Oreochromis niloticus: one gene and its partner. The protein of the gene in region 1 interacts with the protein of each later gene in a pairwise test. Links are inferred from orthologs where the notes say so. Each region holds a gene or a part of one and is shown on either strand. Other genes may lie near its edges.

Evidence for each region.
Region 2: the proteins of apip (region 1) and PDZ domain-containing protein 4 interact in a two-hybrid assay, tested with the Homo sapiens proteins (2 studies listed by BioGRID and IntAct). The two-hybrid records come from large-scale screens. The link is inferred for Oreochromis niloticus from reciprocal best matches to the Homo sapiens genes APIP and PDZD4.

Annotation. Positions count from the first base shown.
Region 1 is NC_031965.2:9,390,469-9,398,431, forward strand, and holds the start of apip (methylthioribulose-1-phosphate dehydratase), read left to right. Parts: upstream 1-4,962; 5' UTR 4,963-5,096; exon of another isoform or gene 5,097-5,100; intron 5,101-7,628; 5' UTR 7,629-7,631; coding exon 7,632-7,697; intron 7,698-7,963. UniProt on the Homo sapiens protein: Catalyzes the dehydration of methylthioribulose-1-phosphate (MTRu-1-P) into 2,3-diketo-5-methylthiopentyl-1-phosphate (DK-MTP-1-P).
Region 2 is NC_031984.2:10,819,349-10,826,638, reverse strand, and holds the start of PDZ domain-containing protein 4, read left to right. Parts: upstream 1-4,277; 5' UTR 4,278-7,043; coding exon 7,044-7,103; intron 7,104-7,290.

The sequences.
Region 1 (7,963 bases):
TGGCTTAGGCTTTTTAAAATGCGGCAGAGATTTTTCCTCGTGTTTTCTTAATCAGGAGAATTCCCTAAAACCTATTGAGGTTTTTTCATCATATGTATTTTCTTGTAAGAGATTATCTTTTTTTCCCTTTAAAAACAGGGCAGATTATGTTTTTAAGCAATGTTTTTCAGTAAAACATACAAACACTGTGGCTCTGTGGTGCAGTGGTTAACACATTTGCTTTACGAGTGAACGAGCCTTTGTTTGATTATGGAAGGAGACCCAAACCTGGGAATTGGGAAAACACCATCAGGAACATTTGGTGTAAAGTTTATGCCACTGTGATGACCCTTTTGGAAAAGGAGCGGATGAAAGTACTTCTTATAAAGAGACATGCTAATGATTAAATGCATGTTGTGTATGATACTGTCTAAAACTCTGCTATTTCATGGCAAAGTCACACAAGAGGTGTGACACAAATAGATGGCATCATCTTAATGATTGGATTGCATTTTTTGACATCTGGCAACCAAGTGCAAGTATTGCAAGCAACCAATGGCTCAACCAAAGGTTGATCATGCAATTCGCTCAGACTCTGGGCAGCCATGTTTGCTCCTACCTGGCGGGATGCAACCTATCTCCAATCACGTTACAACGTGGGCTTACTGATGCAATCAGTCAACTCGTTTGTGACACATTTCTTTGCATTTTTTCACGCATCTCTGGTTGTATTGTGGTTATACTCCAACATAAAAGCAACGCAATCAATCACTTTTTGTGATTGATTGATTGATGATTTTATTAAAAATGACTTAAACTATTTCCTTTGCTTCTGTGTTTATAATAGCATAACAATACTGCTCCAAAATCCAGAGCTGGATTATTAGAACCTCTGTGCTTACTTTAATATAGGAATGGTAGGAGCATTTTGGTAGTAAAACAGATAATTGCATCATACTTCACAACTAGGCAACCAGATCTTAAATGACCATGAACAAAAAGTTAATTTTGTATATCACTTTATTTTGCCTTATGAAGAAGTACTGCTTTAAAGTGACTGAAATGGGTGCTTGTTCATACATGTCACAAAAGTCAAGATGCTCCATTGGCTCTTTTTTTCTTTCACAGGCTTTCTGCTTTATTAAAAACATAAAATAAAATAAACCCTATTGGATAGTCTGAATTTACCGTTGCTTGGTCATATATAGGATTAGGTTAATGAAAATGAAAAGCTATTTATGCATAGAATACATTTCTCTGGAAAAAAAAACAAACCCTACAGTAATCATGTTTTTATCTTGTTTAACATGGAGGAATTATGCCAGCGAATAAACAATGCTTTACATAATTCCCTCAGTCAAAAAAAAAAAAAAAAAAAAAGATTGTACTTGGTTATAATTTTTAAAAAAATCCCAGAACAAGTTCTTTATCTTATCATATTTAGATGTTATCCTTTTTGTTTGATTAAGTTGGAATTCTGTTTTCCTTGTTGTCCAAATACATTTCTAGCTTGCTTGGCAATATTATATTATACTATATTACTATTGTTAGATATTTCATTCCCCATTACAATGCTTGGTTATTGCTTGGTTTCATAGTATTACCTTTTTTATGTTCTTTATTGGCATCTCCATGTTTTTTCTCCTCTTTTTTGCTTATTTGTTCTCTCTTAATAGTTTCACATTTTAAATGTTTTGTCAACTTTTGTATTATGGTGCAGTAAATAATGTGGAACTTCACAGGAAAAAAAAATGCAAGTTTCATTTTCAGATCTGCAGATAACCGAAAACGAGGTCTTCCTGGTTGGGTAAGTTCGAATTTTATTTTCCTTCTTTATAAAATTTCGGCCGCTAGGATATCACAGATATCACTTTCAGATATGATGTGCAATTTGGCCTTCTAAAATAACTCATTGATAGTTTATCAGCATCTTTTTTAATTTCCTTTTAAAGCTTTTAGCATTTTGGGGGGTTGTTTTAGCTTTTTTGGACTCTTACTGCCTTAAACTTTGTTTATTTAGCATCATGATAGTTAAATAAATGTTGAGACTGTAACTACCATGTGAACAAAAAAAGAACTCGAGCGACAAACGACATGACGTTCCTACATGAGACATCAAAAGTTCATCACTAGATGCTGTACCAAAACATTCATAACTTTCACTAACTACTTCTTTTGATGAAGTTTGATGGTATCGAAAATTTAACCCATATATTTTGTTCATATTTCATGAGCAGAGTCTAAGGGCACTCATAGTATGGTCTGGGTCAACTTCAACCTGGGCCAAAAACTGAATTTTGATCTACAGATCAATCTTAAATAAATGGATGATTAATCTGAGTTAATCTGAAGGCCACATGAAGTTTGGAGGTCTTTAGCAACTGACTCTGCAGAAAGTTGGCTGAGCAATCACTGACCCCACTCTGTAATTCTATATGGCCTACCACTTTGTGGCTTAGTTGCTGTCATTTGCTTCAACTTTGTTATAATACCACGTGCCTAGGCGACTGATTTTACACAACTGTGGCCACGAAAGTGACTGGAACACTATGAGTGATTTGGATAGATGAGTGAATACTTTTGGCAATACAGTGTGTACCTCTGTTCCTTATGACATAATGCATGATCATATATCATCACTCCTATACTCCATGACAGTGTCAAGGCCCCCATGAACTCTGTCACCACTGCTGGATAAAAAGATACTCACAGACATGGCATGTGTAGTTTCGCATTTTCAAGCTTCCCTATTGCCACCTTTTTTCCATGGTTTGACCCACAGTGATGGTTCTAAAATCCATCTGAATGAATATGGATCATATTTGACCCAGGAAAGTCTCAATGTATAACATTTTGTATATTTTGGGTCAGTTTAGGAAAAATCATCAGATATCTAGCTAATGGCATTTAGAGCATTTATTTTGTATTAATTATTGCCAGGGTATCTCTATTTGGCCATTTTAGGTAACAGTTGCACGAATCCTACTCCTCCAATTACCTCAGCTAGAGACAGACCCTCATTGATGTCTGATAGATTAAAAAGTGACCAATGTGGAAACTTTCACAGAGTACCCACAGGGCTCTTTGAAGTCTCTCTTCCCCATATGCAATAGGATTTTGAGTGAGTTCAACAAGATAGAAGGATGAACTGAGGGAGGAGTGCCTGTGTGGAAAGGCTTCAAGCCAACAGATAGCATGTTCAGACTAGGTGCACAAATTCTTATGAAATAATCTGTTAAGTTTATGACTTCAGGTAAAATACAGGCACTGTTTTGCATCTAAGGTAGATGCTGTATGACTTCAGGTAAAATACAGGCACTGTTTTGCATCTAATGGTAGTAGATGCTGTATAGTCTGAACAAGCAAACCACATAGCTTACAACGATGCTATAGGCAGGTGTAGGCACTCCAGGCCTCGAGTGCCGGTATCCTGCAAGTTTTAGATGTGTCCTTGATCCAACACAGCTGATTCAAATTGTTAAATTACCTCCTCAACATGCCTTGAAGTTCTCCAGAGGCCTGGTAATGAACTAATCATTTGATTCAGGTGTGTTGACCCAGGGTGATATCTAAAACCTGCAGGACACCGGCACTCAAGGCCTGGAGTTGCCTATCCCCTGCTATTGGTAATGAACAATAACAAAGTTATTACATAAAGCAGTACATGTCTCTCTTAGCCCCTCTCCATTGCTCTAAGAAAAAAATATGCTGTTATGAATACCTTTTCTGTGAAAATCGCCTGGGCTGATGATACTGTGGGTTTATCTGAGAACAGTATAGATGGCAGGATTGCAGATGAGAACCCCCACCTCTCAACAGTTCCAAACAACAACAACAACAACAACCAACAAGATAAATTTAAGTGTTCCCCACGTTTTGGCAGAAGAGTTCTTTCAACATAACATCTACTGTTTGTGGATGCTGTCCTGACTTGCACTGCATTTTCACAGCTCTGTAGGGCTGCTCACTATTTCAGATATACCTTGTTATGTAGTAGTCTGTATACCAATGTGCAATTTTAAGATTTCGTTTCATTCTTGCACATCTTTGCTTAGCTGTTATCCATATTATCCATATATCCATATTATATATTATACTACATTATACACAGCATAGTATAGTAAATATTCAAGTACAAATGTGTTGAATGAATTAAACTGCACTTTAATATTCTGGTGTGGTCTAATAACTGTTATTTAGCGTGCATTGGCATGGTTACTCTACTTCTACCACAAAAAGGTAACAGTGGTAAGCAAAATAACCTATGATAGATTTAGGACAATACTAGACAATGCATTGAATGCATACTAAATGTTAGTCACAACTTTGTATATCAGTGTACAGAGGAGAGAAATGTAACTCATTTATTAACATTTTCTAGCCAGAAATAGTGAAATGTGTGATTTCGTTTGTTTTGACACTACAGCAGTTTTTTTTATACTTAAATTGACTTAAAAGTGTGTAATTTTTCTGTTGCAGCTGCCTACTTTATATTTATATATACAGGGATACTCAGTTCAGGGAATAAACTTAAATTAACATAAATCTTTGAAAAAACGTATACATGCTTAGCCACAATATCTTATTGGACGTTATATTTGTGAAGATTTTGTCTGTAACTAGACAGGGCTGCATTTTGATATGTGAAAAGCGAACGTGTCAGTCAAGAAAAGGTGTCCATAAAGACATATTCCTTCAAGTTTATGTGTTTCTTCCTATAGTTTTTATATACACACTTTTTGAAAAAAAGAACTGTGCCCTAAACGAGTGAGTAACCATATATAGTAACTTCACTGGGCCTGGTTTACAGCATAAAAATGAACAGTTTTGAAAAGTCGCACAAGTGAAGAAAAAAAAAAGCCTAGAGTTAGAATTGACAATTTACATATAAATTTCAACGAGTGCCGCATAAAGGGTTAATACTTTTTGTTTTGTTTTATTTTATTTTCCCCCTGCCCGTATAACGCAGATGGCTCTGCGAAAATGTTTAAATGCCAGTTTATGAGCCATTACATCCGTCTGTGTGTGTGTATTTGCACGCGCGCTTGAGCATGTCGCGTATTGATGACGTCCGAACGCTGACATCGCACACAGACTGATTTAGCACCAAAAGTCCAGTAAGTAGGTGTATTTTACACTTTTATTTTACTGATCTTACAGAGTCGAGGTAAACGAGTCGTTGTTTTAACGTATGACTACGAGACTTCACGCTTGGGGAACCATTTTTCGAAGCCATCGTCACTGCTACATGTTAGCCATAGCTATTAGCACAAATGGTACAACTGCAAACTTTTCATCTAACCAGACTGAGATCAGCCTCAGGAACTTAGTTGATGAGCTCCCCTGATCCTCCCTTGTCTAAGATGAACGAGCATCTTCTCACACTGAATGCTGAGTTGTGAGCATTGCGATAACATATGTTTCCCCGAAGAAGAAACCTTTCATATCACTTGTCAAAGTTAACATAAAGCTATGTTTTACAGTGCAGCGCTGTCTAATTATTCCTGTCGGTATAAACTGACTCGGATAAATCAGATTTTATCGTTTTCATTACAGTGTAGCAAATGGTAAATGTTCGACTTCACAATATACTTTATGTAGGTTAGTAAGCAGCCTGTATTTCATTGGAAACTGCAACACAAACCGAAAAGTCACCTGTGTAGTTGTGGTGCACAGGGTAATGCTTTAGGTGAAATGTAAAGTCCATGTATGATCTTTAACTGCATTTATATTGACAGTATGTATGATTTAAGAAACTGAACTGAAAAGTACGATGTGGTCATATATGCTCTATGCTCAGGGTTAAGTTTATTCTTCATTTTAGTTAGTAGTTATTTAGTTGTGTGAAGGGAACCTGCAAAGTAAGAATTTCATTGTTCTGCGTAACCACTTGTGTTTTGCGGTGTATATGACAATAAACCTGTTGAGTATAATGCATTGGTTAATATTTGATGTGAAAATCTACATATCAGAAATGAATGACAAGGCTGATATGAAATATATTAAAGGATTATCCTTTTGTATTTTATTTTCCATAAATGTATGTATGTATGTATTTATTTATTTCTCAAACTGGAATTGCACATTTACAAGAACCTTTAAATAACTGTATTGCGCCAGTGTTTGGCATGTGACATAAAATAGGCTTTCCCCCTCTGTAATAGTAAACCAGTACGTAACCACCTGCTATGCAAGCCAAAAGTTTTACATTACATTGAATCACAAATGCTAGAAACATGTATGTATATTATGACATTTACCGCTATGTCTTTCTTTCAGTGCAGTTAGAATCTCAGATGAGCCATAAAACAAAGCTCCTCATTGTGCAGTGTGGAATGAGTTTGTTACAGTCTTTAATAGGAATCTGTGTGTTTTTTGTGGTATTTCAATAACGTGATATAGAACAATGTTTGAATAAACAAGCACCTAATTATATAAAAATCCCCTATGGAGGGAAAAAAACAAACAAATCCCTATCCCGTATGTATTTACTTGAAATAAAGGTTTATTATTTTTCTCTGTCTTGAATGTCTGTGACATAAATTGACCTTTCCATGTGAAAATGGAGGAAGCAAAGACAAAAAGCAACTTTTGGCCATTTTTATTACAATTTAAAAAAAAAAAAAAAAATTAATTAAAAAAGGAAAAAAATACAGGACAGATGGACTTTTAGTGCTGTACTGCAGAATAAAGGAAACAGTTAACTGTAATTAGTGTGATCCACACTGCGGAATTCATCCAGGATTCAACTTCAGCCATTTCTGGATAGCTGTAGCTTGCAGACATCAATTACAGTTAGGTTATGCAACTATGTTAAACCAGTGTGTTAATTTGTTTTAGTTGGGTGTCAATATTTAGCAAAAAATTTGCTAAGAAGTTCCTTAAAAAAAAAAAAAAAAAAGTGTGCATAGTCATCCATTAAAAGTAAAGACAGTCACAAATAAAACAAACCGTTCTCGCAGTGCTTAATGCCCCTGCAGACGGTGTGACCACGGGAAGCTGTAAATATGAAAGGCTGTCTGTCATGGTCTGCTTTGCTGATTGCTTTTCATTTCCTCATTGACAATGTGTCTCCAAATAAAAGAAACTCCTTCGCACTTCATCATGAAACTAATGATAGTGCTTTCTATTTATTAATGCCAGTGCCATGCTGCTCTCACTCGCCTGCGCTGAAATGCAATATAAATCATTGTATTTGGTTCTGAATCTAGCGAGGCATGGAAAATTCATGTCTTAATGAAAGAAAAGAGCCTAAATGCTTGCATAATAGGAAAATGCATTTAACAGTGTGTTTTCAAGGGATTTCAAGCTGGAGCGTAACCTTTTACATGTTACTCAGCATCTAAGATTGATCAAAGGAAACCACATGTTAGTTCTTGGGAACTGACATGTGGGAGAATAAAGAATAAGGGAAAGTAGTCCAACTGTAATTTTTTTTTTCTTCTTCCTCCTTGATTTCTGTGGTATTGTGTGATGCTGTGATATGAGTAACACCATGAAACCTGGGGCACTGACAAAATCCTTTTCCCTTTTGACCTTAAATCACTTAGCTCTTCCTCCTTCCACCAAGTAAAGTGTTACCGATTACATTGCCCAGTTTCTGTTGACATTATGACACATCTTTTAAATGCCGTTAACTGTTTTGACAGGAGATGTCGTCTTTTTGCGGCACCGGTGATGATTTTCAAGATGCAGGTCGAGAGACCGCTGAAAAACAGGCAAGTGTAGTGCGTGACATGAGAGATTTTTATTTATTTATTTATTTTAAGGTATTTGTATGAACTGAAGTCTTCTAAATGCCTTTCTTAAGTGAGATGGTGATTAAAAACTTGTGAGAATTTGAAAAATGTTACACTAAAATGCTGCTAAAAATTGCAAAATAAAATAATAAACATTTTAATTGAAGTTAATTATTTTAATGCACATTGTGTTATCCTTGCTGCTTTCCTAATACAACAGTCACACCTTGGAGCTTAGGATGTAT
Region 2 (7,290 bases), on another chromosome or scaffold:
GATTTTAATTAACAATTGCAAAATACTTGATCAACCATTTTTTTCATCAGTTGAAGATGACATGAAAAAATATTTTGTTGGAATTAGAATCCCCATAGTGTACATCTGCACCGCAGTTATAACTGTACGAGAATTATCAACTGGCCTAGTTTGGGAGACAAAAGAAGGCACCACCACTACAACATCTGCAAATACAGTCATTAAAACTGAAATGGGAACAACACCATTATCAAACACAGCATAGACCTATGCTTTAAAAGGAAATATCTGACTTAAATTTATTTTGCAGTTTATTCCAGTATCGGCATGCTCTAAATCTGTGTTCCTCAGCTTTTACGGTTAACTTAAACAGCAGTATCATAACTGTTTAATTCAAGCTAAACTCTCTGTTAAATATCTCATCAACTCTGAGGCTTGATAAATAGGAAAACTGGAATACTGGGACTTTCTGGATGTGAGCACCAAATTCTTGAGTAACAATCTGAAAGGTACACATCCCATAGTAAGTCTTTTGTCTTCCTTCCCTCACCCCCAAATGGTCGCGGCAGATGGCCGCCCCTCCTGTTAAAAGGGAGTTTTTCCTTCCCACTGTCATCAAATGCTTGCTCAAAAGGAGTCGTTTGATTGTTGGGGTTTTCTCTCTTTTATTGTAGGGTCTTTACCTTACAATATAAAGTGCCTTGGGGCAACTTGGGGCAAACTGAACTGAACTGAATTAAACAGGTAATGTGAAAAATGGTGACCAGTGACTCAATATTAACATATGGACAGCACGAGGATTCAGAAAATCTCTAGTCAGTTTAAATTTTCAAATTTAACACTAGGCAACTTGGCAAATACTATATTATCCACTAGATTTTCACTGAAGATGATGAATTGCATAGAAACATCAAAGCCTTCTCCCTTTGGAGAAATGAAATTGTAAACAAGGTCTAAAGGTCGAACAGAGATCATCATTAGAGAGAAACCCTGCCTTGAGGTGTAGCTGATATCGACATAAACATGGACATAGTAAGGTGGTATCCTAGGTGTAGCTCCTTAAAATCTTGGATGAGTTCAAATCACAGGAACCTCAACCTCAACCTCAGAGTCAAGGTCAGAGGTCAAGTCTTCTGAAAATCTTGTGAATATGATAACTCAAGAAGGAAGTCACCTAGGATTTTCAAATTCATACCACAGGTGCAGCAACAAAAAATCTTGCACGAGTTTGAATCTCAGTGACCTCGACCTCAAGGTCAGAGGTCAACTTTTCTGAAAATCACCTAGGATTTTTAAATTCATACCATCTACTGGGAGTCTGAGGAGTAGCATTGGCAGCTGCCAGTATTTTTTTTAAGTATGCAGTCTGTGATTGAGAATATCATCCACAACAACAAAAAACAAAAGCAAACGCATATGATGAATAACTGTTTGTGCAGCTTTGCGCTCTTGTTTATTTTCTTGACATACCTGAGTTTGAGGGGCAGCCAGGGTTGTTTTCTTTTGCTTTTCAATATAGCTTTCTCAGTGCACCTCCAGTCCTAACATATTTGTTTGGCAATTGAAAAGTTGCTGGTTTGATTCCAGTCATAAACACAAATCCCCTTTAAGATTGCGTATCAGGAAGGGCATCCAGCGTAAAACTCAAATCAAAACATGCAGAGCTGAAAGCTTCTGGTATATATGGCTTTCTCTGTGTTTCTGAAGACCAAAGTTTCGTTCACTCAAATAAGATTAGACACAGAGCCTCTTCTTTCATTTTCCCTTTCCATCATTCTTTCATTTCTCTGTCTCCTCGCAGTCTATCTAAGCCCCCATCTCATGCCATCGCAATGCTTCTTTGTGGCACCTGGCCCTCACTGCTTCCTCTGTGAAATAGCTTTCACACTCAGTGACTTCTGTGGAATGTGAATGAAGCTGCTGCAAGGGTCATTTTTTACTACCTACCAATCATAGTCCTCGCTATGATGTGACAGTTGAGTCATAAACACATACGCTTGTGCACACACACACACACACACACACACACACATATATATATATCTTATACATATTATATATATATGTGCAAAAACCCAAACAAAAGACCCTTAAAATGTGGTTCCTTTGCAGCTTATTGTGTATTGGTGCTGTGCTCCTCAGAGCAGTAAATAAATAATGAGAACACGGTTAAAATTCTGCCAGTATTCCATTGCTCTGCTGCCTTTTGCCTCACGATAAAGAAAAGGAAGGCCTCAGTGGAAATGCAATTTCTCTTTTTTCTTTCATTTTTACATATTTCTGTTCCCCACTTCTTTAATCTCCCTGCGATTATTCCCTTTTCCCTACTCTTTTATGTCTTGTTCTCCCTTAAAAAAAACTTCTCTGCTTCGTCTGAAATTCACCGCTGTTGTTACCTTGCTATTCCTGAGTGTTTGCCATTAACATTTTTGCAAAACAAAAGCTTCCAATTCATCTCTCTTGTTCATTTTAGCAATGCGAAATGTGCCAGAAAAACAAAAAAAGAGAAAAAAGTGAAGCACTTCACATTAGAGAATAATTTGCATCTCCTTTCTTTTAAATTTCTCCAAAGGTACTCATTATTTTGAAATACTTTTAGCAGTATATTCTTTTCCTTTCTTTTAAACCAGTAATTGTCATTATCTTGTTTTACCGCACCTACATTTAAGAACCAAGTTGTTTTATGTATTGAAATGACAACTTAAAAGGAAAAGAATTACATGCTAAATGCTGATAAATTACGCCAACATAAAGGACTACCAAAAGGATTTAAATGCTTTTTAGCTTTTCCATTTAAAAATGCCCTTTTTAAAAAAATGCCAGGACAAAGGTGAAGTTGGGTGGAGATAGAAAAGGGCGGCAACCTGCGGGCTACGTCCCCTTTGTTCAGGTGGGAATGAAAGAAGCAGTGGTGGGTAATGTGAAATGACAACCACTGGTATTTAAGCTGGAGACGGATCATAATGCGAGCCAGATCTGTCTGTTTAAATGCGATGCTCTCTACTTTTCTCTTCCTTGTGGAACGGACAGTTGATATTTCAGAGAATAATAAGATAACACTCTGACATTTTATATTGAGATGAAGATCTAAAGCGGACAAATTGGGGCTGAATGATGCACATGAGTGCAACAGATAACAAGACGACGAGATCGGTGTGTGCGTGTTTTCTGTGAGTACTGCTAAGTGTGTGGGGTGCATTCGGTATTACTGGCTATGCAGCAAAATACATGTAAGCCTGTTGAACCAGACACAGCCACCATGAAATCCTGTTTCAGACTGGCTTACAGCGAATAACACACACAAAGGGGAGGCTGAATGTGTGTGAGAGAGACACAAAGAGGGAGAGAGAAAGCAGCAGATAAAAACAAACTAAGTGGCACAGGACTAGATGTTGACAAAAGGGTGGTCTTAATTAAACGGCAGTTAATAAAGGTCTACGTGTGATGTATTAGAGAGGATTCACACATATAAAGATGGAAAAACTGAAAAGTGGCAGGCAGAAAATTAAAAGTATCCTTATGTAAAGGTTAATCTGAGTATGGCAGCATGTCATTCTTGTCCCATGGAGTGTCTCACTTCTCCAGCCTTGTGGTACTTGGCATTGGCGCTGCAGCAAAGGTGCCACTAAAGCCTTTCTAAATAGAAAATAAGTGGTGTTCTGAGTGTGAGCACAGAGCTCCACAGGGAAAACTAGGGAGAAGGAATTGTACCCACAAATATCTCCCAGCCTGTGCAGATACTTAAAATGAAACATCTCCATATGCCTCCGCCTCACCCTCCCCTCAGCAGGTCATTTTGATTACTGCAGAAACCCCTTGTTTCCACCCCTTCTCCACTTCACCAGTGATCTCCCACACAGTCATTTGCATTTTCTATCTTGGCTTTCTTCCATATCTTTCGATTTATCCTGTCACACCTGTTATTCACTTGTTTTTCTTCTTTTCCACCCCCCTGTTTCGCTTCCCTCCTTCTTTGTGGCAGCACAGAACCTCATCTAAATGCACAGCCAGTCATCAGCTCTCTACCTGCTCTGGGCATTTTTATTGGAATGAAAAAGTGCAATCATCCTTTTTCTTTCTGATACAGCTCAACAAGGGTTGACACTGAATTGCTTAAATGAACAGATTCCCCACTTTTCTTGCATGTCTTGGTAGTACAGTGCATGAAAATCTTGATATTTCATTCACTTTTATGTGGCGTTGCTCGTTATCTTGTCCTGTCCTGCCGAAACAGAGCGCATAGACTTTCCAGTGCTTGCTCTCTTGCCTGCAGACAAGCAGAGCGAGAGAGGCAGGGGAGAGGAGAGTGTAAGGAGGAGGGAGAGGGTAGCAAATGAGGTGTGGGTAAAAATTATGGGGGACTGGAAAAGAGAGCAGTGGCCCAGCCCTGGATATGGAGAGAAAGAGGGTGGGGGAGAGACAGAGGAAGAAAGAGATTATACAGTGTAAAACCAGAAGATGCAGTTTTAGTAGTAGTGCGACGTGCAGATCAGTAAGCTCCTTCACCGCTGGGGAACAACCGCCTTTTGTTTCTCTCCCTCCACTGCAGTGGGGGGGTGCATTTATCGTCTTGCCCAGGGGGAGAAGCCAAGAAGTATCCTCCAATCAGCCTTTAATGATTTCTCTCGTCTTGTGAGGCTGCTGACGGTGATTTATCACTGACCTGAGACTAGCGCTGCACTCTGCACAACACTCTAACCACCTGGAATACTCGCCATGGTTTTTATTTCTTTTCTTACAAATAAATATCCTCCTGTGGATGTTTCAAAGGGAAAGACCAGAGGACAAAAGAAGGATTAAAATGGACTTACTGACTGATGTTCTTGAATTTCCTGCAGCACACTGAAGATGGACTAACTTTGACACAAGTACAGGACATATTTTTACACCCACCACTCTAACAGAAAGGCTGCATTTGTCACAGCGTGCCATGCCATATTTTATTCTGAAAGCATGGCAGGCTGGGAAGCATCCTAAACACTCCACTGCAACAATCATGTAGGACTGACACTCAGGTATAGGTAGATGATGATGATGAGCAGGAGATGGAAAGACTGGGTGACAGTTGGAACTGGCTTGCCTGCTGAGCCTGTCTGGCACTTCACTATAGGTTGATTGGCCGTCTGCTCTCGAGAGTTCAACTATCAGGTTGTTTCTCCCAAGTTATCATGCGGTTCATTGAGTGTATTTAGCTCTCCTCTGTGCTTGTGTGAGTGAGGATGCCACTCGGTGTGTGTGTGTGGTGTTTGGGATTACACAGCCTCTGGAAAGAATACAGGTGTAGCAGAGCCTTGAATAAGGATTAGCAGCTGTAACACCTTGTCACTGGCAGCAGACAGCGCGATGGTACTTTGAGACAAGACTTTCAAACTATGACCTCTTGCTGGAGGATTAATGATAACGCTCTGTGTAATATGATGACACTTAAAGGGCAAAGGAGGAGACAGGAATACGGCATATTCTAATTCCAGTTATCTTTGAAGGACGCAGACTTGGGCTAATCCTAAAGCAAACGGGAGTTTTAATTCATATTTAAATTCAGTGAGACAGTTTACAACAGCTTCATTTGAAGAGTTAAAACTAAAGCATCAGAATTAGTAACAGTGCAAAGCAGGCCTACAAATTCATAAAAAATAACCTGCCTTTCTAAATGAATTAATTGGATATGTGACAGACAACAACCCACCCAGTACAAAATCCAGCTGATCAATGAATCAGTTTTGTATTGATTTCCCAACACAGACACGATTGGAGGTTTCAGTAAATATAACCAATCAGTGAGTCCAACCCATGAGCAGTTAGGTATAGTCCTGAGTGTGGTTTAGCTGAATATGAGTGGTTTAATACTGGTCATGACTTCTGACAACAGATCAGATAAATGCTGCAGTTTCTGTATGTTTTATTTGCTTGTATTGTTTGGAGAAGCTTTATGAAAAATGACAGTTCTGCTGACAGTTACAGGAAAATTGGCACTCCCTCCGTGCAGTAAAGCTTGTAGTTGAAAGAATCGTGTCTTGTTTCCTGTCTTGATGTGTCTGTAGGTGTGCTTGTCTTTAGGTTGTTGTCTGTGGCACGCAGCTTATCTTAGCTGCACAGCAAGGGCTTAGAGATCCAGGCTACTGGCATAATGGGCACCACCCAACCTGCCCCACCTCCCTACTCGGTGCATTTCAATAGATTTAAATTATGAAATTACTTTAAACACGCATTGATCCTTAAGTGGAGGATCAGAATAGGTAAAGAGGGTTCTAAAAAGGCACCGATGAGGCTAAATTATCTCAGCAGCCACACTCAGCAGTCCTGGAAAGAGAGAAAGAGTGTAGTAGGTGGGAAGCTCCATGTGGCAGCAATGATAGCAGAAGGAAAAAACAAAACTGAGGCAAATTCTTTGATAGCTGCATTGTTTGCATCTAACGGGCTCAAAGAGCATTTTTGAAAATGTGCTTTTTGGAAGTTTAGTTCTTTGAGTGAAAAAGACTCAGGAACAGCGTGGGAGAGTTCAGCGAGAGTTCTTCTGGGAAAACTTTGTCTTTTAGTGCAGTTTTTCAAACTAAAAAGCCACTGTTGCAATTTACAGCAAGCTTTCAGTGTGATCATTTTTGAAAAGTTACTGGATAAGCACAACATTTTATGCCTGATCTATTGAATGACACACAAACCAGCAGGACTCTTGAAGCACATCTTTTCCACAGATCCAGTCAAAAATCCTTCCTGATCTACAACAAGCACACAAACCTAAACAAGACACATTTCTGCTTGCCATGGAAACAGAAACTAACACGTGGGCTTGCTGCTCTGAAACTATCTCCACGTTTAAATTTACTCTGGATTATAACACTTGAGCTGCAAACAGCACAGAAGAGAAGCGAACAGTGACACAGCCAATTAAACTGTGTTATTCCCAGCCAAGGATGTGTTGTGTGTTACTCTGAGGAGGACTAGTTGTATGCTACAACCCTGCGAATGAGGGTGGGGCTTTCCCACTGCCATAGACAAAGACCGCACAAAGAATCCTGGCGTGAGCGTTGCTCATCTGGGGCAGTTGTGGGACCTGCACAGCCACGATGGGGTGCAACATGTGTGTGGTCCAAAAACCTGAGGAACAATACAGGGTCATGTTCCAGGTGAGCTGTCTGTCTCCTCTCCTCTCTTTGTCCTTTGACTTTCTTGAATTTCTTTCTTCGTGAGTCTTCAAGCGGAAGTGTTTGTGTGTGTCCCCAAAGTATTCTTTGCTATTCTCTCCCAACTTGTTATTTTCCTTACAGTGAAGCTGCTGCACAGGTCACAACCACCTTTCTCAGAAATCAGCAG